2 linked regions of the Drosophila melanogaster genome follow. The gene in region 1 interacts genetically with each later gene. Each region holds a gene or a part of one and is shown on either strand. Other genes may lie near its edges.

What was found.
Region 2: of Prps (region 1) and Lip4, changing one suppresses a phenotype caused by changing the other (phenotypic suppression), as found in Drosophila melanogaster (one study listed by BioGRID).

What each region holds. Positions count from the first base shown.
Region 1 is NT_037436.4:9,688,979-9,701,921, reverse strand, and holds the start of Prps (phosphoribosyl pyrophosphate synthetase), read left to right. Parts: upstream 1-6,480; 5' UTR 6,481-6,689; coding exon 6,690-6,726; exon of another isoform or gene 6,727-6,879; intron 6,880-7,216; exon of another isoform or gene 7,217-7,463; coding exon 7,464-7,689; exon of another isoform or gene 7,690-8,101; intron 8,102-12,473; coding exon 12,474-12,657; intron 12,658-12,943. Other genes in the region: CG6761 (uncharacterized protein), read left to right, coding at 1-231, 292-529, 583-808, 870-1,221; Ubc4 (ubiquitin conjugating enzyme 4), read right to left, coding at 2,193-2,576, 2,804-2,956, 3,167-3,229.
Region 2 is NT_033779.5:10,520,958-10,533,900, forward strand, and holds Lip4 (lipase 4), read left to right. Parts: upstream 1-6,614; 5' UTR 6,615-6,832; coding exon 6,833-6,899; intron 6,900-8,170; exon of another isoform or gene 8,171-8,579; coding exon of another isoform or gene 8,580-8,604; coding exon 8,605-8,792; intron 8,793-9,120; coding exon 9,121-9,298; intron 9,299-9,356; coding exon 9,357-9,718; intron 9,719-9,898; coding exon 9,899-10,450; 3' UTR 10,451-10,821; downstream 10,822-12,943. Other genes in the region: CG18301 (uncharacterized protein), read left to right, coding at 10,895-11,032, 11,378-11,555, 11,612-11,973, 12,029-12,619.

The sequences.
Region 1 (12,943 bases):
TTCAAGGAGCTCAAGTCTTGGCGCAAGGTGTACTGGAAGTTATGGGGTCACTGCCATTACCTGTACTGCTGCTCGTGCGAGGCTCATTTTCCGGTCTATCAGATGCACTGGTGTCGCTTCCATCCGGAGGCACCCAACTTCCTCGGTCCCGTGGGCAATGCTGGACCCGCCGGCCGCTTCTCCTGCTGCGGTCAGCAGGCATTCCGCTACGAAACGCTGCCGGGACCAAATGTATGTATATATATTTCCAGAAACTAATACTACTGCATTGAATATTCGTTACTTTTTTAGGGCTGCCAATTTCGCGAGCACAGTGTCCTGGTGGAGACGGATAGGGAGCGTGCCATCCTGGCCATTGCTCAGTTGGTGGGCGAGAACTACGCCTTGTGCGAGCAGCCACCATTGAGGATTCAGGAATTGGCCGCCGCCGGCGAGATCAGTCCCAGTTGGCAGGGTATCTCCCTAACGCCACAAAGATGTCGCCAGGGACTTTTGCCCCAACTCTGCATGGACAGTGTGCTCAAGAGAGGTGGGTATGTGTGCTTGAAGGTAATGTGCTCCGTACTCAACCCTGCTCCATAGTGACCAACCATCGTGTGAGCCGTCGGATGCGAGGATCTCGCTATCAAATGGACACCAGCACCGATTCGGAGACGACGTCCACCAGCGAGGATGATGCTCGATGCCTGCGGCCACGCATGCGTAACGTTCACGATGACGACGAGGACTACAGTACGAGTAGCGATGGCTGCGAGTCGGAGCATCGTCCTCCACCAAGGAAAACTAGAGGCAAAAAATCACGAAAGCGGTAAGGATTTTGAAATATTGAATGTATATGAAATAATAATTACCTGGAACTGTTTGGCCAGTCCCACCGATGTGTCGGGTCGTTTTTGGTCCGGCGAGTTGTCAGCGCGCAGCAACCAGGATCATCAGCGCGACTTCGAGGAGAAGATCATGAAACAGGTCGCCAATTATGTGACCAAAAAGACCGGAACGGATCAGTGTCTGGTGCAGAATGCCCAACCGCTTGGTGGCTCCTACGTGCGACTCGAGTCCGAATGGAAGGAGATGCTCAAGCAACGTCACAGCCATCACACGATCCAGGGAACCAATGCCACTGGCACATCCGTGGCTCAAAGCAACAGCAGCTGCCTGGGATCCGCACTTGCAACTGGTGGCTCCTCCGTGTCCGTCATGTCCAAGCAAAAGCACAAGTAGAAATTCGTATTATATGTGTGAAGTCATTAACTTATTGGATTCGCCAGCAAGCATCGTAGACCAAATATTTAGTGACAGATTATTAGTCAAATATTTAGTGCAAACCATAAATATTCACATTGAAATGTAGAAAAATTAAATGAATATGTAGAAGAATATATATATAAATGATTATATCTGGATGATATCGATGGGTTCTATTTTACTTTCACGTTTTGTGCAATTATTTGGTTTGTAAATCACCAAGAATTTGGATTTTATTTCAATTTTGGCATTAGACAGAGCCTTAAAAAATGGATTAAACAAGAATTATAGTAATATACATTACATATCTCAATCAATCTAGGGTAAATTACATTTTCCATTCTTCAGTCTAGGCATGATTTACAAAAATCTATTTTAAGTTTGCAGCCTCTTCTTCACAAACCGAAATCATAACTTCTCATTAGACATTTATTAATATTTTTATTTATTTATTTATTAACTTAACGCAATTTACAAAGACTTCGATTTGTTATACACTCCTCGCCTTCACATTTATTTTGTTTTGTAAATCATTTTTGTTTGTGTTTTAGTTTAAGCTTGAAATGGAAAACAACAGTACTGTTTAAGAAAGAGCCTGCAAGTAAATGCGACTGCACGTAAATTAATGAAACAGAACCTGGGTTCAATTACATAACACCACATGCTCAATGGGGCGCGGGCATGGCCTTTGGCTCAACCTTCTGGTGACCCACCCAGCGGCAAAGATGTGCACATTAATCATAATAAAATTATAGAACAGATCAGAGAATTATTATAACTACAGGGCAATGTAATTTCGTGGATAAGATTTACGAAAATATATTGGTGCGTGAGTGTACAAGAATTTAGCGTGATTGCCGTTCTGAAGGATTGATGCTGAAGTTGGCCGGTGTTCTTGGTGCTGCCACCGCCGCGAATGGTACTGATGCTAGTGCGGCTGGGACAAGCTAACTGAACAGGCCCTCGGTGGCCTTCTCCAAATTCCAATTCTCCTTGGAGAGCACGGCGCGCGCCTCATGCTCGTCGATGCCCATGTCCCTGAGACGTTGGATCTTTGAATCACAATCGGGAAAGGTGTGCGGTCCGCCCGCATACGCGTTGGTCCAGTGCTTGGCCGTAAGCAGGAACAGATCGTACTTGTCCTTAAACTGATAGGCCACCACTGCGTCCTGTGGATCGTCCGGCTCTGCGGCGGCCAGGAGCGCCTGCAGCGACAGCAGTACGGTGCGCAGTGTCATCGCTGCAGCCCAGTTGTCCTTTAAGATGTCCAAGCAAATCGCACCCGTAACCGACGATATATTCGGATGCCAGATGCGCGTTATGAAGCGTACCTGCGAAGAAGTTTGCAATTTATTTAGGTTTCAATTACAAGTTACAGGTTCTTATTGCGCCTTTCAGAATTCAAGTTAACATTGTGGATTCATAGAAGTGTCACTTTCTACGAAGTGAAGTCATAAGATACGATTTTTGAAAGATGAGGTGTACTCATGTAAGAGTTGTTTATTTCTAAGCTAGCATATTGTATAGGTGCACAAAGTCTGACATGGCTATTACGTACCTTTGGTGGATTGAAGGGATATGTCTCGGGCACCTTGATCTCCAGGACGAACTTGCCGCCCTCGTAGGGCGTGTCAGGCGGACCGGCGATCTCGCCGCGCAGCTCCGTCCAACTGTCATTGACCAGTTCGATTTTGATGGAACACTGGACGATCTGTTCAGGGATTACAAGCCAAATTAACAAATCAGTGGGGCCAATGTTTACATTTCACAAAGAAAACGGAGCCCATAAGCGCGCCAAAAACGCCACCAACGTTCGCGGACACCCTCCCCCGCCCCCTGCACCACGACCAGGGGCGGTGGTGCAGCTGGCATTGCCGAGGTGCCGTTTGAGTGTCCTTCGGCCTTGGAGCTCGGGACTCACCTCCTCGCTGCGCATCACCTCCTTGAACTCCCGCTTGATCCGCGACACTGCCATGTTCGCCATGATGTTTCCTCCGTTTCTCGGACTCTCCTTTCTGCTCTCTCCCTGTTCCCTGTTCACCGTTCTCCTTTCTCCGCCGCTCCTCTTCACCACGCTCTTCTTGCTGTGTTCTGTTCTGCCTCTGTTTTTATTGTTGCCCCCCCGTGCAATTTTGGATTTTGTGAGTGTTGTGCGTTGCGTAAATTACGCCTGGCTGTTGGCCTACAAGGTTGCTCCTTTCGATCGCTTTTCGAATTGTCGAAGCAACGAGCTCGACCAGCGCACGGAAAATAAAAAACTTATTATTCCAATTTCAACACGAATCTGACTTTTTACAGCGCTCAGCACGTCTATTTTGCCAGCGCTATTTCTTTTTTGTTTTTCCGTAGTGTGACCGCCGCGGTGCATTCGGATAATTCTGAAAGCTCGCCTATCGATTGACGTATCGATAGGGCTTCGGGGAAAGAGCGCGAAAATTGCTAACGAAGTTCGAATGTTCAAATGTTTAGCATATGAATAAATAACTATTACATAGGGACGTAATGAATTGGTGCTACTTGCTGCGAGCCATATATTGCCTAGATACGCCCTTAATACTACCCAGGTACACCCACTTCACTCAACTCATAACTATTTAATCATATTAAAACCTATTAAACATTTTAAGGAGGAGTCTTCTTCTTAACATTGGTCCTCCAATTATGTCCACTGGATGACATGATGACTTTGTTTCCCTGAAGGCGACATATCAGAATCTGGGAATCTTAACCGACACATTTTCCTAACTCGTTTCGATAATACAAATGAAAAGAAACAAAAGCAAAATCTACATAAAAATAACCATATTTACAAACTACTTTCCTAATAAATTCAGCTAAGCCCCATACACGAAGTACTCATTCTTACCTCTTTGTTGATAAAATCTATTTACGTTACAATGATTGGCTGAATCAATTCCAAAGTTGGTTTTTGTACCATTGGATAAAAAAGCCGCAGCTTTTCCTTGGCACACGTCAAAGGTTATTTTCCATTGCGTCTCTGATCTTGAATACTGAATACATGGCCTTATTATATAATCGAAGTTCTTTTGACCTCAGTAATATGGTTCCATTACGCTCGCCCGCCTTGTCTGCGGTCGGAAATTTGAAACTTGTTTTGCGCCCCATAAACAAAAACAAGAAGTTTAATCTTCTAAGGCGTAGGTCTCTCTTGGCAACAGTCCAAAAATAATAGACAGCCATTAATTATGCGCCATACGATCCTGTGTTTATAATGGTTATACTTGGAAAAGGGGTACACGAAGTGTTACTTTATTCACATTGCAATTTTAAATCAATATGAGAGAACTTTACCTAAAAAATTTTTAAGTGATAAACAATTAAGTGGATTACATTTTCAGCAAACTCTTATTAATAAGTTGAATGTTAACAAAATAAAAATATGATCAAAAAAATTAGAGGGCATATTTCATACCTGAAAAATCATTAAAGTCGACATTCTCTTTTACTGCTCAAATTCACGTTTCGCACAGCTCAATGGCGATCGAGAAAAAAACGTGTCAGCAAAAGCGTGTGGGGAAGTTTTGAGAGCCAACGCAACAACAGTTTTCGGATAAGAAATATACCCAATAGACATTCGGAGACTAATTAAAACGGAAGAGCTTCTTGCTTCTCCAACTCTTTGGACACACGTGTTTGTGCTCCCCTTTTGTGGCGCTCTTTCGCCACAAAACAAAACGAGTGACCGACACAAACAAATATGCCGGTTCTCTTTTACTCTCCCCGATATTCCCTTTCGAAGCATATGTATTATGACTGTGTGAAGAGGGATGCGTTTCCTACCCCATAAAATAACCAGATAACCAAAAGATACATTTATTGTCTTGTAACGTAAGGGTATCCATGCTTCAGCTTGATTAAATCAACTCTCCTCTGCGTTATCTCTTGCTCTCTCGCACCAAACAACTCCATAAACAGAAACTCAACTTCCCTCGCTTAAATTCAATTCAAAAGCGTTCTGATTCATTCAGCTTTTGCATTTTCTGAGCAGCGGCTGCATCCAAGTGAAATCACAAAGTACAAGTTTTTTTCGACCAACTTGTACAAACCGCATCGTTCAGTGATTAATAGTTTGTAGTTTAAAAGTAATTGCGACACTTTGCTACCTCACATGTTTCAAGTAAGTCCAGTATGGTGTACTACTCGATTTTGAAGTGTGCGTGCCTTTGTTTTCGCCTCGACTCAAAACATGCGTCGCATTCGGCACGTGGTTTTTGCCCCACCAACCCGCTATCCACGGCTCCATTATTCCTGTACTTGCAATGCCATTTGCGTCAGTTTTTAGGGATAAAACACGGAGAAGAGTACGTCAGCATTTGGCATTAGTTCATTTATATTTAGCCATGGGCACGAAAATAACAATTTAACAAATCGCAGTGTTTTTCTGCCGCGTTCGTTTGTTCAGCATCCCAGGTACAGTTGCACAAACAACAAGAAAACATCTCGGGGGCAACAAAAGCAAAGACGAGCCCCCGTGAAATGAAAAAGCAAGAACTGTACCTCGGATTTGAGATCTAGAAAACAAAACATTTCTGCTGGTATGTACAAAGTACATAGCAGAGATATTTGCAGAGCAACAATTATCCAGAACCAATTGAAAGCGGCATACAGCACAGATACACAGACAAAAAATAAATTTCTAAGTATGTGCACAAAAAGAGCCGCATGCATATAGGTTTTAAAAGTGGGAAACGCAGCATTAAATGTTTATTATTGTCTCAGATATTTAGGGTTTTTTTATGTTATTATGAATAGGAAAATATATTGACAGTCTTATGGGGCCTTGGAAATTTATTACCCATTGAAATATATATGAAACAATTTTATTGCATATCTGTGTGTTATTAAGAAATTACTGAGTTGTGCAGATGTAATGAAACTAAGCCGCAATTTTGTCTTACTTTAGAAATGAGGTCTGTGATTATTTTATAAAAAAAATTAATACTTATTATTGAAATTTTCGCTCTGTGTGACGTTTTACATATCTAAAATTGCAACATGACGTATTAAAAATTCTATGGAAATTACCTATCGAAAACAGCTGATTCCGAAAAAGAGAGGAAAAGTGCGTCCCGAAAGCTTTTCCTTGTGGCATCAACTTAACTGCGCATCATCCCATCCTTGGCGCTCTCTTGCGCTCTCTCGTAAAATATGGGTGTGTGTGTGTGTGGGCAGCCGGTGCGTATGTGTAATAGAAGCATACGCCATGTTGTACGGCGCTCAGTTCCATTCGCTCGCTCAATTTCGCCAGATGCGGCGCTCTGCGGCTGCTAATCCCAATCTCCCATTGTCGCTGAAACAGTGCACTTTTCACCTTACCTGGCGCAGAACAGCTGAGTGCGTCTTGTTATTAAACGGGTTGTTCAATCAAATAGTCGGCGCTTACCTGTCGCAGAACCTTCATCTCGGGATTTGTTTTGTGAATAATGCCCGATAAGAAATGCACGGAGAACGAGCAGAATGGTGCGTAGATTATATCCTAGAATTCACATTCCTTTCATTTCTGTCCGCGTGTGTGTGTGTGGTGCTAGGTTTTCATGGCCAACTGAGGGACATCCGTGGAACAGCTGTTTACCTCAGCCTTAAAAGCTTTTTTTTTGGCGCGCGCCTGTTGGCATGCCAGCATATTTTATATGTTAAAAGAAAACTCATAGATTTTACGGGTGTGACAACAAGCTGTTTATCTATCGAATATAATCAGTGTCAATTTGCAATTTATATTTATTCTTTTTCATGTTCATATGTAAATTTAATAGCAAACCGAGCCAAAATATTATAAATATAAAATTATTTGCAATGAAATAGGTAAATCCTTGCTTTTTGAAAGGCTAATATTGTAATAGTGCAATCCCATTAACTTGTTTAGATTTATACTGAGAAACACACTAGGAAATTCGAATTGATTAATGAAAATATTTAAAATTATAAAAACCTATCGCACCGCTTTAGTAGTCCGGAATCGAAATCGATAGCTTTCCAGTTCCCTGGAGAACGCGTAGAAAAATCACATGGTCTGGATGGGAATGGGGGATAATTGGGGTGGCTTTACAGAAAGAGCGAGCGAAAGAGAGCGCAGTGCGCAGCAAAAAGCTTCGTTGCTCTCTTTTACGCTCTTGCTTTCTCACCGATAAGGCGACGACGTCGACGTCGCTGCCCGCGTTTTGGCGAAAAAAATTTATAATAAAAACTTCTACTCATAGATTGTGTGATGCCAGTTCGCTCTGCTAATCCGATACGCGCTAGAAGTTTGATCCGAGACAATTTGGAGAAACAGGCTGGTTGTCTAAATTTAATCCACTCCAGAATGCCGAACATCAAAGTGTTTTCGGGCACCTCGCATCCGGATTTGGCCCAGCGGATAGTCGATCGCCTGGGAATCGATCTCGGCAAGGTGGTTACGAAGAAGTTCAGCAACTTGGAGACCTGGTGAGTAGTCCTGCAGGAGAATTTCCTTCGCAAATTGCGTGTGTGACCACCAACAAGTGTTTAACGACAACGGACAAATGTGTTTTTAAAGTGCGCTAATTGAGTTTGACGAAAAAGTGTTTGGTCTGCAAACACATGTGCTCAAAAGGTCCTTGACATTCGCTGAAGGTTGCTGGCGTTTCGCTGCCACAATCAACAATGGGAATCTATGGGAATTTGTGATTACCTAAAACTGAATGATTTTTCCTGAATTTTTGTGGCCTGCCTTTGGCTTGATTTCTTTTTATTTTTATTGATTTAACAAGTGGACTGTACACCGTCTTTGTCGCTATAGCCGTGCGTCTGTGTGTTTGTGTGTGTTTAGTGGCGTTGTGCTGGTATGAGTGAGAGTAACACACACACCAACATACACGTGAAGCTTGGCCAATGTCGCGTGCAATTTTCACAAAATTTAAATTAAATTTTTTTAAATCTTCCTAGACAAGAAATGCAAAGAAACCGAAAATGATTTTTATTATATATTTTTAATTAAATTAGCAGCTGTGTGTGCGTGTGTGTGTATGTCTAAACTTGCGGCTTGCACGCTTTTTGCTTCCCTCTCTCTCGCACGCACTCACACAGGCGCAAAACCAGCCAGTCAGCTGCTGATGCAACAACAACAATAAATAACAAATAAAGGCGCCCATAGTTTTTACCCCACCCACTAGCAAGCACCCTTTTCAGTTTATTTGGTGTCAACTTTCCATCGGTTTTTTCCAATTTTAATAAAATTAAACAAAAGCCCCATAAGCAAACAATTAGAGGAGGTGAAAAGGTGAAAGAAACAAACGAGGCAAACGGAAGAAAACCGAAACGAAAATAGAGGTTATAATACGCGCTAAGCTTTCTGACATGATACGCGCTCCGTCGGTGTGCGTGTGTTTTTGTTATGCTCGCACTCACTCGCACGCACACCAAGGTACGCGGCAGCGGAAAGAACTAAAGGCGGAGCAGAGTCGAGGCTAGGATGCCCTGTTCCAGGTGTTATGCTGTACAAGGTAATAGGAGTCGTGTCAACTTACAATTGTTTACAGTCTGATTTCTTATAGCTTGATATTTTATGATCCTAAGAACCAATTGAAGAAAGTACGACGTTCGACGAATAAATCGTAATAAATATTTTGTGAAAAAAGTTTCTTGGTTATAGAGTTAGACATAGTCTTATCTCTAAAAATGCATTATTTTCCAGGTTCCAGTTTTTAACTTTCTAATAATTCTTTACCATTACCGAAAGTTGAGACCCAATTTGGCTTACTCGCTTTTATAGTCGACATACCCGACTAAAGGAGGGTACCAAATGCCTGCGAGTAGAGAACCACAACATGACTCTGTCACGTTTTTCATTTGCTGACTGAACGGAGAGTAAGAGAACGCTCTCTTAGGGTGAGAGCGAAAGGGGAGCTTGAGCGCCACACAAGAGTCGGCATACGTTGCAACGTCGACTGCGGCAGCGACGCCCCCGCATGGTGGGCATTTGGACTCTCTTTGGAGCCCATTCTCCCGCTCTCTCTCTCTTGCTCTCAGACTAAGTGTCAGACCCCCACGTGTGCATAGTGGTTGTTGCTCCACTGTTGTTGTTGCTACAATATTTCTGTTTGCACTTGTCGGCTTTGTTTTTGTTGTTTATCCCATTCTATCACTCTCTGGCATTCTCTAGAAGCAGCGGTCAGAAAATCATGTTGACCGTTAAATGCGCTCTTTTTGCTCCAATTTACACTAGGTGTTGTTGTTATTGTTGCGGCTGGTGTAACGGTTGAACTTTTGCTTTTATATTTTTCATACTTTGTCTTGATTACTTTTGTTGATAATAGCGAACGCACGGCGTTGATGATAATGATTCTGTTGTTGTATTTCTACTCGCTATTGTTGTTGTGTTTGGTGGGGCGACAGGGCTAGAGATCAAGTTTTTAGTCTAGATTATGCTCAATTGAAGGGCGCCAAGATGACATCGCGAAATTTTAAACGAATGAGAGGTAATATTAAGACTGACACCAATTTCTTTTTGCCTAATTCGCTGATAATGGAAGATATGAGCATAACAAGAGAAGAGAGAAATAGAGAAAAATACCATTTAAGAACTATAAAAACTGGCGATACCCCTTTGTTTGGGTCACACGTGATTGTTCTTTATTTTTAACTTATCACTTCGCAAGCTTAATAAGAGTTTTTTTATTTATTAGTAATGCTGTATAATAATTTTATTGCAACCCTCAAACAATTAAGTAATCAATACAGAGGTCATAAAATGTACAAGTATCTAATGTTTTTTATGGCCGCCAACTAAGAAAACCCCCAAACGACCTTCGCCACAGGCCAAGAACAATTTCAGTGGCAGTTCATAATAATTTTTCAATAACCCCAAAGTGAGGCTCTAATTTCCAATTTCGAAGGTTTTGCCACACGCAATTCTAAACTGTTCTATACACCACCCCCTCCCTTGAACCCAACCAACCACCCACTGAAAATGTCAATTACTAAGCGTTTTTTTTTTGTTTTCCATTTTCGACTCTAAAGTTTGATCGATAAGGAATTTGCGTGCTTGTCTTGTGAGGTCGTTGTCGTATCAGCGAGCTTTTGAAAGGAAGGGGCCCGAGTTAATAGTGATAAGGAGCGTATAAATCAAGTGGAACCAACAGAAACTAAGCGAAAGCGATTTAGATTCCGCCCAGACTGAGATAAGCTTAGTGGGAGACAATTGGCAACAGTTTTTTGTACCTACAGTACGGCTTCTATATATAGCACGATATATTTCCTTAATAGTAAACTAAACTACCTTTTTAGAATACATGATCTTTGAAACAAAGTAATTAATCTAGATAGGTCCAGGTTTTCAATTTTATAACATGGCTTTAAATTTGATTATGTTTAATCTACGAAATCCGTACGATAAGCGAATAATAAAAGCGAAAAAGAATGTTCTAATCAAACATTTAGGAAAATAAACAAAATCCAAAAAAGTGTGAAACTGGTGATTTCAATTAGAGAAGTACGACTGTTTTTCGTTTTCATGCTTTATTTATTTTTTTTTTTTGTATTTTTCGTTTTACATTTCGACTCACATGAGTCTGTCGTCTGACTTGCGGACGAGGAAAGAGATAAAAATACGTAAAAAACAAAGGAAAACGAAATGAATTCTGGCTGAAATTCTATTTGACGGTCGGCCAAAGAAACAGCTGCTGGCTGAACTGTTGCTAGTAGTTGTTGGCAATGCGGCGGTTTTTCTGGCCCATTGCCAACTGTCTTGCCCAGCACACCTTTTTTCCACCATCCCCCACACACCCTCCCTTCGATTTTTCCCAAGATTTCCCGGCATGCTAACAATGTCACGGCGGCTAGCGGTGAAAGTGTTTTCCTACAGCCCCGGCAATCTATTCAAAAATGCATGATTTAATGCCAAAATGCATCCGGCCAAGGTTGATGAAACCGCTGCATTTAGCCGGTCCACATTGATCTTCTTGACCAGAGTCGAGATAAGGAATACATATGTATGTATAATAATACCAATCAATATTCCACAAAAAAAAAAAAAACCGGTCAATGGTATGTTTTATGATAAGCAAATGCAGAAATAGGTTATACTAGAGTATGCTACAAAAACGTGTCACGCGATTGACGACAGGCTCCATCAATTTGTTTATGACAAAAGATAAACCCGAATTATTGGACAAATTAATTACTCGGCCCCACTGGCACAGGTCGTTCAATCGATAGTCCGTTGTGGGCTGATGCTCCCGTACGCCATGTAATTGAATTAACCTTCGATGGTAAAACAAAAGCCAAAAGAACCATGAGAATGCAAAAAAAAAACAAAAAAAAAAAAAAAACAAAAAATGGGCGTACAAGCCGAGAATCAGTTGAAACCGTGTTTTATTGACTGCAATTGATTGTTTATTTAATTTAATTTTTTTCGTACTGGGAATAGAGTTTGTTTGTTTAGAGCTGGCAAAGTTCTCTGGCGACGTTTAAACGAAATTTAATATTACTTCGGTTATTGACGTATGTTTTCTATATAATATTTCCGCCTTTAAAACGCTGACTGAACTATCAAGGGTATCGAGAATCTATAGTCCAAGTTGCTAACTGAGCTTCGCAAACGCCAACCGAAACCGAAACAAAACAAAACAAAAACGAAGTGTAAACAAAATAATAAACGAAGCGGCGTCAGTGGCCATTGCAAATATTGCGCATACGCCATGTGGTCTGTGTGTGAGTGTGTGTGTGTGTGTGCGAGAGAGAGAATTAGAGAAGTTTTCGATTAGATTGCCTTGCCTTGCAGTTTCTTTACGGCTTCGTCAAAGGTCAACAATTGGGAGGAGATTATCAATAGTTTTTGGGGGAGGGTGTGTGCATACTGAAAAGGATACTTTTAGAACTAGTGAATTTGGGACGTGTTGAGAAGTGCGAGCTTGAGACAAGCAATGGAAATTTCCGCACACTGAAGGACTGACGTCTACTCTAGACAAACATATGTGCATACATATGCCATGAATGCTACAAGGTTGTTTGCAAAGGAATTATGGTTATTACCTAACGTTATTTGATTGAAATCTGATTGAACTTAAGCTCTGTACTTTAATGAAGCACACATCTATTTCCGTTCGATTGCAGTGATATTTTTAGATAATGCTTGCGCCAGTGTTTGTTTTCCGATCAATCTATCCGTTTTCTTGCTGACATTTTCCCACAGTGCACCACCAGCCCACATCCAGCCTATCAACTGACCCCCGCTCTCTGTTTTCTTGCAGTGTGGAAATTGGGGAATCGGTGCGCGGCGAGGATGTGTACATCGTGCAATCGGGATCCGGCGAGATCAACGATAACTTGATGGAGCTGCTGATCATGATCAATGCGTGCAAAATTGCCTCAGCCTCTCGTGTTACAGCTGTGATTCCTTGCTTTCCATATGCCCGCCAAGATAAAAAAGACAAGGTAGGTTTGCCTCAACACGATCCGGCCGCCCAAAAATTACACGGTATTATTCTGGGATAACCCTCTAATCGGATATCGCGAGCAAAGAAAAGCAACGTAAACGATTAATTAATTCTTGATTAATAATCTGACTATAACGTTCAACGCAAAGCCCACACACGGTTTCAATTGGGGAAAAGTGGAAACGAAAATGCGTAAACTTTTCCCCCGAATGTTTTTCCCAAAACTTTAGCTCGATTGTTGAGTGCTATACACATACATATATAACCGATCTATTTATCCTATA
Region 2 (12,943 bases), on another chromosome or scaffold:
TTTTTTTTTTTGGGGGGGCAACTCCAGGGTGAATCTGGGGTGGATAGTCTGGATGTCACTCCCCCTGCATTACATAAAATTTATCCCCAATTTGCGTGCAGCGGGTAAACATTTTATTTGACTCGTCTGGCGCTCTGCTGCTCCACTTTGGCTTATCAAATTTTATTAGCAGGCCGGCAAATTGTGCAACAACAAAGTAGCAACACCACATTACGGCCCAAATAATCCGTGGAGCCACAAGCCACCCCAAGTGCAGGCCTCCAGTTCTTCGACCTTCTCTCAAGGTATGATTTGTCGCCGGCTATCAATTTCTTTAACACAATACCAACATCCCCCATGGAAAGCTGGAAAAGCGGCCGGAAAAGTGCAAACACACGCGAAACTGTTGGCGACCCCCTCGATTTCCTCGGTTTTCCCCCCTCACTCTTCTTTTTGGGGGCGCGTGCAGGGATCTAATAAAAACGTTTTCATAGGCTTATGACCGCCTTCCATGAGCCAAAGACTCCCATTCCTGCACTCCCTGTATATTTGTCTTAATAATATTTCAAATTTACCCGCTAACTGTTACAGCAAATTTAGATAAGACCCACAGAAAATCAATAAGCTCACTCGTAGAATTTTCGGAAGAGGGTTGGAAAAAGTTGACTTACCTTGTGGAGAGACTGAAGGAATGCCTATAGACTGGGATCTTAAGTTACTGGACAAAATGGGTAGGAAAATGAATAAATGATATAGGACAAGTTGTTAGCTGAAAGTTAAACGTCTGCATTTTAAGAACGAAAAGTTGGTTAATACGAACTACTTTTTAAAAGTAAAAGTATGTACTTTTAAGCAAGCAAGCAAAACATCGGAAAAGTGCAGAGAAAAGGGAAAACCTTGTTTTTTACATTCATATATATCTGAAATCAGTTAAGAAATCCAATCTTTTCCAATGCGAAGGCCTCTCGGATTGGGGTTATCATTTGCCTTGCATTTTCCATATTTACGATACCAGAAAAAATTAATCAGAGTGGGCAATCCTTGAATATGGAATCGAAAGTCACTGAGGCGCGCACTTATGTTGGCAAATCGACCCCCGACGAATCCCCAACCCCTCGGATTCGGCATCTCGTAGAGAATTCCGCTTCCATCTAACCCGCAGCCCAAAGACGGAATCAATCGCAAAAAAATAAATAAAAAAAAACTGACCAATCCGCGCAGTGTTAGATGGGAAAAATCAAATGCTAGACAAACAGCAAGGAATGGGGGGAAAATCAATTTTCAATTTAAAATTTAGATGCTCATCCCCTCGATTCCATTCGGCTTGCCATAAAAGATAAAGATGAAATGCGTTCGAGCGCAAAATGTAAATAGAACTCTCGTTTAACCGAAACTCAGGCAGGCGAATGAATGCCACAGGTTGTATTTGTGTTTGTCTTTGTGCTCCACTGAATAGTTGGGTGGTTTGGCAGTGGGCGGTGGGCAGTGGGCGGGGGGTGGCACTGCGTGTTGGCCACACGAAGCGATTTCAAAGCAAAATATTGCCGCATAAATCTGACGCAAAAAGTTTTGCTTTGCGGTCAGCAGAGGCGGGCTCTCCGCTAGGGTATTCCGGAAGTCGAAAGGGTAGATTAGGCCATTTTAAATCTAAGATCTATGAAAATCTATATATTATGATAAAATATAATAATACAAATGTTTCCTTATCACCTAGATAAGAACATAATAATATAATAATGTATACTCCTATTTGCATGTTTTAATTTATTATTTAAAATAACTTACTCAGTACATTTTTACACTTGATTGGCCAATTTACAGCATATTGGGTATCCTACAGTCGAGTCTAGTTCCTTGACCATCGAATTGAACTCAAGTTGGCAGATATTTCCCTTTGATTTTTATCGTGCGGTGAGTTTTTTTTTTTACGAGCTCTTAGGCAGCTCGGTTCGTCTGTGGTCCTTATTGTTGTGCCCGCTCCGGAGTTGATTATTTGCCCAGTTTTCCGGAGGGGAATGGGAATGGAAATGGCGGAGCGTGCATTTCATTAGCCGAATGTATCTCGCAGATACTGTATCGCACAGATACCGCATCATCTGTAGCTGGGCGCTTTGGCATTTGGCGTTTGGCAAACGATTTTATGCCGCACCGCTTCGACAAACAAAATCAAATCTGTGACTAGGAAATTGCTTTTGCCTACTTCCGCCGACTCCTTTTCTGCCATCCGAAATATTTGTTTAATGCAACTATTTAGGGAGCGTTTTCATTTCGAATTGCTCCCTTGTGCAAACAGCGGCCGGGAGAGATGAGATGATTAAAATTTAACAACATCAAATATTTGCAGCCGTCTTTGATGGTCTAGTAAAATGTTTAATAATAATATTAAATGCATAATTCATTTTGCAGCCCCGCCTAATAGGAGTTCGTTAAATTTTAATGCACTCGCCTTCATGTCTTCGGGCCAACGTAAATGTTAAATATCAGCAGCAGTTAAGTGCGGCAAAATGGCAGGGGAAGTCAACTTTATTGCAAGGTTCCTGCGAAAATTAATTCATTAGCATTTTATTACATTGGCATAGTGACGACAGCAGCAGCCCCGAGTTCTTGGTGCCCGGTTTCCGGTTCCTGGTTCCTGGTTCCCGGTAATGATGACGTACCTCGTTCTATATAGCCATTGATTGCCAACTACCACCCATCGTTGCTCCGTGATCTTCTGCGCCACTTTGATGTGTAATTAAATCAATAATCACTTTGCAGTCGCCGTCGGCGGAGGGAAGTTTATTAGTTGATTGAACCAGCAGGTGGCACAGTTGGATGCGATGAGGTTGTCTGCGCAGTGAACTTACTGTCAACTAAAACTTAATATTTTAGCGATTTATAGAGGCAAATGAAAGTCAAAAATCAAAATTTTATATAACAGAAGAGAGAGATAACTATTAAATTCATAAAAGTCGCCTACATGAAATGCAAACTGAAAAATGCTTCGAGAAAACATGAGAAAGAATGAAAATACTTATACTTTATACTTTATGGAAAGAAAAAAATAGACCGCGTCAACGAATTTTCCATTTAATGCCCAATTAACGCATTTTCCACTTGGGATTCACCGAAGCGAGAGATTTGTATACCTTTAACGGCAAAAGGCTGAAAAACAAAACGCAAACAGGAATCGTGAACGTGCCACAAAGCAGAAAAGGCCACCGAGTCGACGGAGTTCCAGATCCCGGTATCCCGGACTTTCCCACTCCTCCGGATTTTCTGGGTTCTGGGTTCCCTGAGCACTCCGGTTGCTCCACCACAAATGGGCATTTGTCGCTTGGTTGCAATTGCAAGCTGAATGGAAAAAAAAAAATGAAGAAGGAAGTGGGCCCGGTGGCGAAAACAGGAGCTGCACTTCATTAAAAAAGGATGCTGGGGCAGAGGCAACTTGGTCGTTAGGAAACTCCCGACTTACAATCACAAACACAAGCACTTCGGCAAGGACGACAGGCGCACAGGCTGCTTCGAAATGAGTGATGTAATGTGCCTAACAAGGATCTCCCTGCCAGCCTCCTTCCTCCTCCTGCCTTCCTCCTTTCCTCCCTCCACTTCCACTTGCTCATTGTTGCTTGTTGACATAACGAATGCCTTAACATTTTTCGAGTTGCCTTCACTTCACCGCGCCTCTACCCCGCCCCCTCGCAGTACGACCCCTATGTGTGTGTGTGTGTGTGTGTGTGTGTGGGGTTCACTTCCGCTCCACTTACACATAACTCGCCTCTGCCGACGTCGCTGCCGCTGCGCATCTGGAGATGGGCATTACGTGTAGTACAATAATATTAATAATAATATAGTAAAACAGTGCAACCAAATCTCATTAACATTCAATTAACATTAACACAGATCTTGCAACAGTCTCCTATTAGAAGCCAATTTCAAAATCATTTTAAAAAGAGCTTGAAAGTATTTAAAATAACTTATACCATAACATATTTTAGTGATAATTATTTTCTTAATATAACTATATCACATGTTTTAGGACCTGGAGAATAAATTAGTTTAATAAATCAGATGGTATAGGACTAATATCTTTTGGACACAGAATACATCAGATAGAAGAGCATGAACATTCTTAAGATAGGTGATATTTATATATTTAGGGATAAATACCATATTGATCATTGTCAAAAATCGGAAAATCCCTTATAATGATATAATGATATATTGATATGTGTGCCATCTCTAGCTGCTCGGTTGACGTCGGCGGTTTGTCGAGTTAATGACTTTGGCAGCTGGAGCAGCGGCAGTGGATGATGGGTGATGGGTGATGTTTGGGCCTGTCAGCGGCCCTGAGGCGTGCAGAAATCATTTTTCCTCGCACATTTTTATAAATCACCCTGCCGCCTCTCAGTGGCCAAACAATCGTCAAAAATTTATTTACATTTTTCATTTCTCACATTTGCAGCGGCAGCCAGCAGAATTGCCTATAATTTCCAGTGTAGGACTGATGCTGATCCCTCAAGGTGTCGCTGAGCAGGATGGATTGGAAAAGCGGAAAATTCCGACGTGTGTGTAGGGTGCCTGCAGTTGACAGTTAATTATTTGTATAAATCGCTGCAGATGTTGCGGCCAATGAAGGGTTAAGCTCAGACGCATTGAATTAAATGTATTTGAATTGAATTCTACGTGTGCAAATGTGCGAAAAAATTGGATACAAAATGTAATTGAAATTTTTCTATAATTAATTTGGTGCCTTTAAGGCTTAAATATAAGAAATATATATTTAAATTTCAAGCTAGTTGCTTGAACAAGAACCATTCTCATTTTAATTTCTTGCTCGGCATGAAAATACATTTCTATTTAAAGGTAATATATCAAGCCCCCTTCTTTTGCCGCCAATCGAACGGGTATCGCATTACAGGATAAGGATAAGGATTGTTCCTGTTGCTCTTTGTTCTGTTATCCTTGAGCCAGACTTCGCTTATCCTGCGCCTGCTATTGCCTTTTCAGCCGCTTATCAGGGCCCTGCAACTTGAAAACAATAAATATTTTATGGTCCCTTTTTGGCGAGCGCATAAATCTCATTCTGGAAATTGATCCGAGCAACGAGCTGAGTACTACGAACTGCGTACGTGTTTCGGAGGGTTAGCACTAAGGTGCAGATACAAAAAGATACAGATACATTTGCCACATTGACACACTGAGCACTTACACAGGCTCAGCCTGGCACTCGGGCATTTGCGAAATTTGTCTTCTGACGAGGGAATTCCCCATCATATCCTTCGTACCCATTTCCCTCCCCCATTTCCAGGGATCCCAAAACACCCGCATCCTATGAGATTTGCACATTGATTTCGCTCCCTTTCGATGCGAAGTGTTTAGTAGGTCGCAGTTTCAATGATTCAACAGATTTCTTGTGTGTGCTTTTCTGGTACTTCAGGGGGCTCTTTTGAAGTTAAAGTATTTAGCATTTTGGCAAAGGAATTCAACTTGTTGCCACTGGCAAAGTAAAAGTCCTATTAATACAATTTACGCCCAAGAAATGGCATTTTTAAGAACCACTTAAGTATTTGCTAAGAAAACATTTAAGTAATTTAAGATTCGATTCTTATAAATCGTAATTAACAAATGTAAACTCTTTATAATCTATTTATTATATATTTTCTACGATGTTGCTTGCAAATAAGCAAACTTAATTCCTGACCCATTTAATGAAACATTTATTCTCTTATCGCATTAGGTTTTTCACAAATATTTAGATAGACATTATCTGCACTTACTATTTCTGCTGTCTCATGTTCACATAGTTTTTGAATAATATTTGTGATTGGATTTCAATTGATTCTCTCAGTTTCTATGCCAACTTTTGTGCCCTCCTCTTTGGGAACTAATAAAAGTTTGACTGTAACTTTTTAAGTCAATCGGTGTCAGTTTGTGGCAGTGAAAATCGTTTGCGGCTTGTGGTGAGTAATTCAAATGCCCAAGCGGAAAATTAATGTGCCCAAAAATACCACGAATTTGAGGGCTTCGCAGGGGAATTTCAATATTTGCAACCAGAAAATTTGAATCGTACAGTGGATAATTTGAAACTTGACTTTAAAAGTCACTGAATTGGTCAATTTCTCGATTAGTGATGGCAGCATGTTGCCAGCTGCGAAATGTTGCCGAAACAAAACGAGTTTTGAGTCGAAAATAGCTTTTCATATGATAATGCAGTTTGTAGCTGACATTGCAAATGTCCGATTGTTGGTGAGTTCAAAGGGCGGGATGGGGGCGATAATAACATGCATAAATTTATACATTTATGCTCAGCAGTCCATTTAATGAACTGCGCATTGTTCGCTCTGATTTGCATAGCAAGTAAGTGCGTAGCTGTCGCCGCAAAATGTAGCTGTATCTGCGTATGTACACTGAGAAAAATCAAAGCAAAAAGGTAAGAATAGTTATGGTTACTTTTATGTAAATATTGAAAATATTTCAATATAAGTTTGTAATTATGAATCATTTAGTTTCGTTTTGTATTTCGTTATTTACCAAAATATACAAATAAATTAAGACAATTTTCTGCGAGTGCATGTAATACTGCCACTGTGTGCGAGTGCGTGTTTATTTGCTCGTTAAATGCAGAATGAGCTACACTTAGTAATTGAATAACACTCGGCTCTACTTAACTCAACTCCCACAAATGGTCAGCGAGATAAGCGGACAGCCTATATTCCATATTTTCGACCAATTCATCTCTATCACAGCATTTGTGTTTACCTCTAGCAAATACGAAATTTCCAAAATTAATTTCAATTCGTGTGTCCGATTTGGATTCGGTGGTTATCGTGCCCTTGCCACGCCCTCAGCAAAAGTGCGATAAAATTTATGAATGTGTATAAATAGCAAAAATAACACTCATATTCACCCGTCTGGCGTCGTTGATTGCACTTTGATCGGTAAATAATTAATAAGTAATCGTCTGTATTTTTTTTTTGCCAGCAGTTTGCGTATGAGCAACTTGTTGACCAAAAACTTTGGGTTCACTATGAGGAAGGTTATTATTGAACGACAAGTATGAAAAATTCAAAGCACAAAAGGTATAATATTTTCGAAAAAGTGTGCACTAATTTGAATAATTTAACTAGCTGCCGTGCTAATTTAAATATTTATAATTTAAAGAAGCTCATCGAAATTTTCAAAGTGTGGACTTTTATATTCAACTAACAAGATTCAACTATTTTAACCCACAAAAAATAAGATTTGATATTGATTGTTTATATTTACAATCTCATGAATAATGTGCAAGCTTTTTTAAGATATAAAAGTAGATTTTTTGGCTATTTGTTAAATTAATTTTGATTTATTTATTAAGGCAGCATGCTTATTTGAAGACAGTTCTGTTGCTTAAACTTATTTTGCAATTACGGCGAAAGACCTTCATTAGAAATCACTTAATCCGCTTGATTTTAAATCCATTACGAAGAAACAAATTCTGCAATAAATTTAATTTGATTTACGCAAAAGCACTTACGTTTTTAATTTAAGCTAAAGGAGACATAAACTAATTTGACGAGTGACCCATTAATAACATGCCCATTAAAACATTTATTTATTAGTTCTAGTTCAGGCTTGAAATCTTAATTTACAATAAAGATTTACTTGATGTACAGGTTAATTTAATAAACTAATATAATACTAATGAAATCAAAAAAAATTAAGAATGCTGGAGATCAAGGAAAGTGGTAATGAATTTTCCAACTCAAGTAAAGTATTCAAAGGTCTGCTAAGCTAGATGAATAGTTTAATTGGTGGTATTTATTTATAGTCTCGGGAATGGACTTTGCCTGATTAGTTCAAAATCCGTGCTAATCTTCACAGAATTTATGTTTTGAAGATTACAACTTGAGGTCAGAAAATGATACTACATAGTTTTAGTTGATTTGCATGCATCTGGAAAATGAGCCAGCAATGAATCACAGTTTTCACAACGCGTGGTTGTAATTAATAATATTTCACATTTTTTCTCTTTCCGGCTGAGCAGAGCAACAACCAGTTGTTATTATTTTTTTTTTTCATGCGGAGAGTTAAGTTGGGCGAATCAATTGGCCTGGCAACATGTTGAATTGTTTGTTTACCCGCCGAGCGAATGTTGCCAAGGTGGATCCCCTTGGGTTGTGTGGAATCAAAATCGAAATCAAAATCGGTATAACGACAAAACATCTTCTTCAGTTGCCGCTGGGGGCCGGCGGCTTTGACATCTCGTGCGTAAGTGATTCCAAAGTCAAGACCATTGCGAGCCGGACCCACGGCTTATCATCGATTGGCCAGTGACGAAGGCAGTCAGGTTATCGGTGGGTTGAATGTAGCTATAACACTGTGCCCCAGTGATTCAATTCCCTCGAAAGTATTGTACGAGAAGTGCTGATTATTTCGAAAATACATATGTCGTGTGGGCAAGTGTCGAATTTCTCGCGTTCACAGAAGGTTTCTTTGTTGCCGTCAATCGGGACTGCCATCAGTCAACAATTGTGCCTCGCACCGATCGCATCCGCCGAGCCATAGATCCCATATATCTATTGTATTATAATAGTAGTACGAGTGTAACCGCTGAGATTAGTCGTAAAATCGGTGAAATAATGTCGGTGAAATTGCTAATTGTAGCGCTTAGTTTGTGCCTCCTGCAGTCGGGCATCGTCGAGGGTATATCATTATCACTCGGAGATATAACCCTCTTTAATGTTAACTTCAAAACACCAACTTTTTTGGGAAGATCCGTGGCGGTGGATAGCAATGTGCGGTTGGAGAACGATGTGGATCCCAATATTCAGGAGGATTCACACTTGAATACCGTAAGTTAATACCCATAGTCGGAAAAAGTTAACGCCAATAAAAGATCTAGTAGTAATAGTACATATTTGCTGCTAAAATGTGTTAATGTATACGTTTAAAAGTTAGTCAGATGTTGTCATCGCTTTATTTTTACGATATTACGTTTGTATAGGAAGCTTTTTGATTTTCGTACCTCTCCCTAATAATTAAGAAAAGTAATTACATTATTGAAAATTGACATATCAATTTAATCGTTAAATTAACGATTACGCTGATAGAAACTTACACTTAGAAAATTTGTTGTTCTTAGTACAATTGTAATAACCTCGTCTCTTTTCCCTTCTGCAGTACAGTCTGATAAAAAAGTACGGCTACCCGGCGGAGAATCACACCTTGGAGACGGATGATGGATACATCCTCACCTTGCACAGGATCGCTAGACCGGGAGCAACGCCAGTGCTTCTGGTGCACGGACTACTGGATAGCTCAGCCACTTGGGTGATGATGGGACCGAACAAGGGACTTGGTAAGATCATAGGCTATCTCCAAATGTCCCATGCTGATTGCGTTGCTCTGTTCCAAAGGTTACCTGCTCTACGATCAGGGGTACGATGTCTGGATGGCCAATGTTCGTGGCAATACGTACTCGAGAAAGCATGTTAAGTATAGCACCCACCATGCCAAGTTCTGGGACTTTACATTCCACGAGATGGGAAAGCATGATATACCCGCCACAATGGACTACATCCTCAATTCCACGGGCGTAAGCCAATTGCACTACATTGGTCACTCCCAGGGAACCGTTGTGTTCTGGATCATGGCCAGCGAGAAGCCCGAGTATATGGACAAGATCATTCTGATGCAGGGATTGGCACCGGTGGCATTCCTCAAGCACTGCCGCAGTCCGGTGGTCAACTTCCTGGCCGAGTGGCATCTATCGGTGAGCGTAAGTTACCCCATCCTAATTATCCCATCCTTTCAAAGAGCGTTTTTGCAGTGGAATACATCCAAATTTAATGTAAATTTAATCATTGTTTATTATAAACACGATCCAGTGCAAAACATCTTTCTCCTTCTCTTCTCATTCAATTTGTTCATGTTAACTTATATTATTTTAATATTTTAGTTGGTCCTCAAGCTGATTGGCGTTCACGAGTTTTTGCCTAAGAATGAGTTCATCAGCATGTTCAACCGGATCATCTGCGACGAGACCACTATTACGAAAGAGATTTGTTCAAACGTCATCTTCCTGACCACCGGATTCGACAAGCTCCAGCTGAACGAGACTATGCTGCCGGTAATCGTGGGTCATTCTCCGGCCGGAGCCTCCACCAAGCAGATGCAGCATTTTGGACAGCTCAACAGATCTGGCGGTTTCCGGCAGTATGATCACGGATGGCTCAGAAACCACTGGATCTACGGAACCATTGACCCGCCATCCTACCACCTGGAGAATGTTCGGGCCAAGGTGGCACTATATTATGGCCAAAACGATTGGCTGGCTCCGCCGGAGGATGTGGAAATGCTGAACCGCAAGCTGCCCAATGTCGTGGAGAAATATCTGGTGGACGACAAGGAGTTCAACCACTTGGATTTCATTTGGGGCATCGATGCCCGGGAACTTTTGTGGGATCGAATGCTGGAAATAATGCGAAATCATGAGAATTCAATTATCTAAAGGGGAATAGAACTATGGTTATAATTTAGTTATTCACAGTATATTATTATTAGTTAGGTATTTATTGTTTAGTAGAAACTAAGACGATTTACAACAATTTTACAACGATAAAAGCCAATAAAAACAACTTACAATTAATACATTTTTAATATTAATTCCCATCTTTTCTATTCCTATTTTTTGATATGAAAATTAGTATATATCTTTTAATTCGATTTTGCTAAGCAACAAACTTTTTGCTTAAGTTACATGAATGATATTTATTTCCGAAAGTATTTAAGTTGAGACCCAAGCGGTAAATGTAAATTTTATTCATAGGTTAAAGTGTTGCACTTTTATTGCCTACGTACAATCTTTTTTAGTATCCCAAAATTTTACTTGCTTCAGTTTCCACTTGGAACTTGTATACATCGGATTAGTAAAGTTTGTCTCTAATAAAGTCAGATGTCTCTATCATCGTCTTCGAAATTTCTTATATGGACCTTCTTTTTGGGCCTATTCCAGCTGGAAGCCAATGCATTTTTCAATCCTTTTCAACTGGCTATACCTTCATCAGTTTTAGAAGATGCACACTTGAATACGGTAAGTTCAAAAATCATTCGGGTTCCAACGATTAGTAACATTTGGAATAAAGCATAGGAAGTTTATCCAGATCTAAAAATCTAGATTAATATAGTGCATTATATTTCGACTTATAAAACATCTGTAGATATAGACACAATTTGTGTGAGTGTAAGTACATATATAGCTTTCTAGGTTATAGCTCTTACTATAAAGGTCGGATTACTCGCTGATTGGTCATAGTTTTATAATCTCATGTATTCTAAATACTACGTACACTCAATACTACGTACACTCAAAGTATTTAAGGGCAAATCTCTAGCGAATAGTTATATTAAGCCGTGTTTGTTTCTCCTGTTTTTGCAGATACAATTGATTTCCAAATATGGATACCCGGCGGAGAATTACACAGTGCAGAGTGACGATGGCTACTTATTGGGACTCTTCAGGATCGCACGTCCTGGAGCCCTGCCTGTGCTGCTGGTCCACGGACTAATGGACAGTTCCGATACCTGGGTGATGATGGGTCCTTCCAGTTCCTTAGGTACAATCGAATTTCATTCGTTTTTTAAGTGCACTCAGAATGATTTTCTTCCAAAGGATACATGTTGTACGAGCAGGGCTACGACGTCTGGATGGCCAATGTGCGGGGTAATACCTATACGAAACGCCATGTTCGTTACTCCGCCGAAGACTCCGATTTCTGGAACTTTTCGTTCCATGAGATGGGCATTTTCGATCTGCCTGCCATCATTGATTACATACTGATGCAATCTGGATTCGGTCAGTTGCACTACATTGGTCACTCCCAGGGATCAACTATCTTCTGGATTTTGGCCAGCGAAAGACCAGAGTACATGGAAAAGATCGTTATGATGCAGGCATTGGCTCCAGTGGCCTTCCTGTCCCATTGCCGTAGTCCCATTGTGAATTTGTTGGCCTCTCAGGATACTGCAGTTGCCGTACGTTTAAGATTTGTTTACACTTTTATACATTTTAACTAATATCTGGTTTTAGTCCTTCCTAAGCGCGGCTGGCTACAATGAGTTCCTGCCCAGCAACAGTGTGATTGATCAGTTCAAGCGTTATGCCTGCCGGGATATCATTTCCAGCAGTGTCTGTCAGAGTCTCTTCTTTATTCTTTTCGGTTTCAATGGCCAGCAAGTGAACCAAACGATGTTGCCGATCGTAGTGGGTCACACTCCGGCCGGTGCATCCATCAGGCAGATGCACCACTACGGCCAGCTGAGGAACTCTGGGAAATTCCAGCAGTTTGACTACGGACTGTTGAACTTCCTGCATTATGGCAGCCTGTCCCCACCGCCTTATGAACTGGAGAAAGTCAAGGCCAAGGTGGCAATCTATTATGCCAAAAACGATTGGATAGCTCCGCCGGAAGATGTGGACATGCTTTTCAACAGGTTGCCCAATGTGGTGGAAAAGTATCTCGTTCCGAATGAAAACTTTAACCACTTCGATCTGGTCTGGGGCAGAGATGCAAAGAGAATTCTGTGGAATCGAATGCTTGGAGTTATGCAATCAGTTGTTCCATACTCCTCCTACAATGATGGCGATAGTATCACAACTGTATTTGTAAATCGATTCTAATCAATGTTTTCAAATGTAAATGAAAGGAATTTTACAAAAACTATCAAATAAAAGCATTCGTCTTTGTATCTAAACAGTATTTACTCATTTTATTTATAAAGAATGTTTATCAGCAGTTGCAGAAGACAACAAGTTATACCGATATGATTATAACAAATATATTCAATAAACGTATTTGCATAAAATTTATTATATATTCAATAATTTTTTTTATTCACAATTTCTTTACCCGGTTGAATAATAAAAATAGTTATCGGCTATAAAGTCACTTCCATTGGATTTAATTTAATAGCCTCACATTTATTTATTTGAACTGCCTTAATC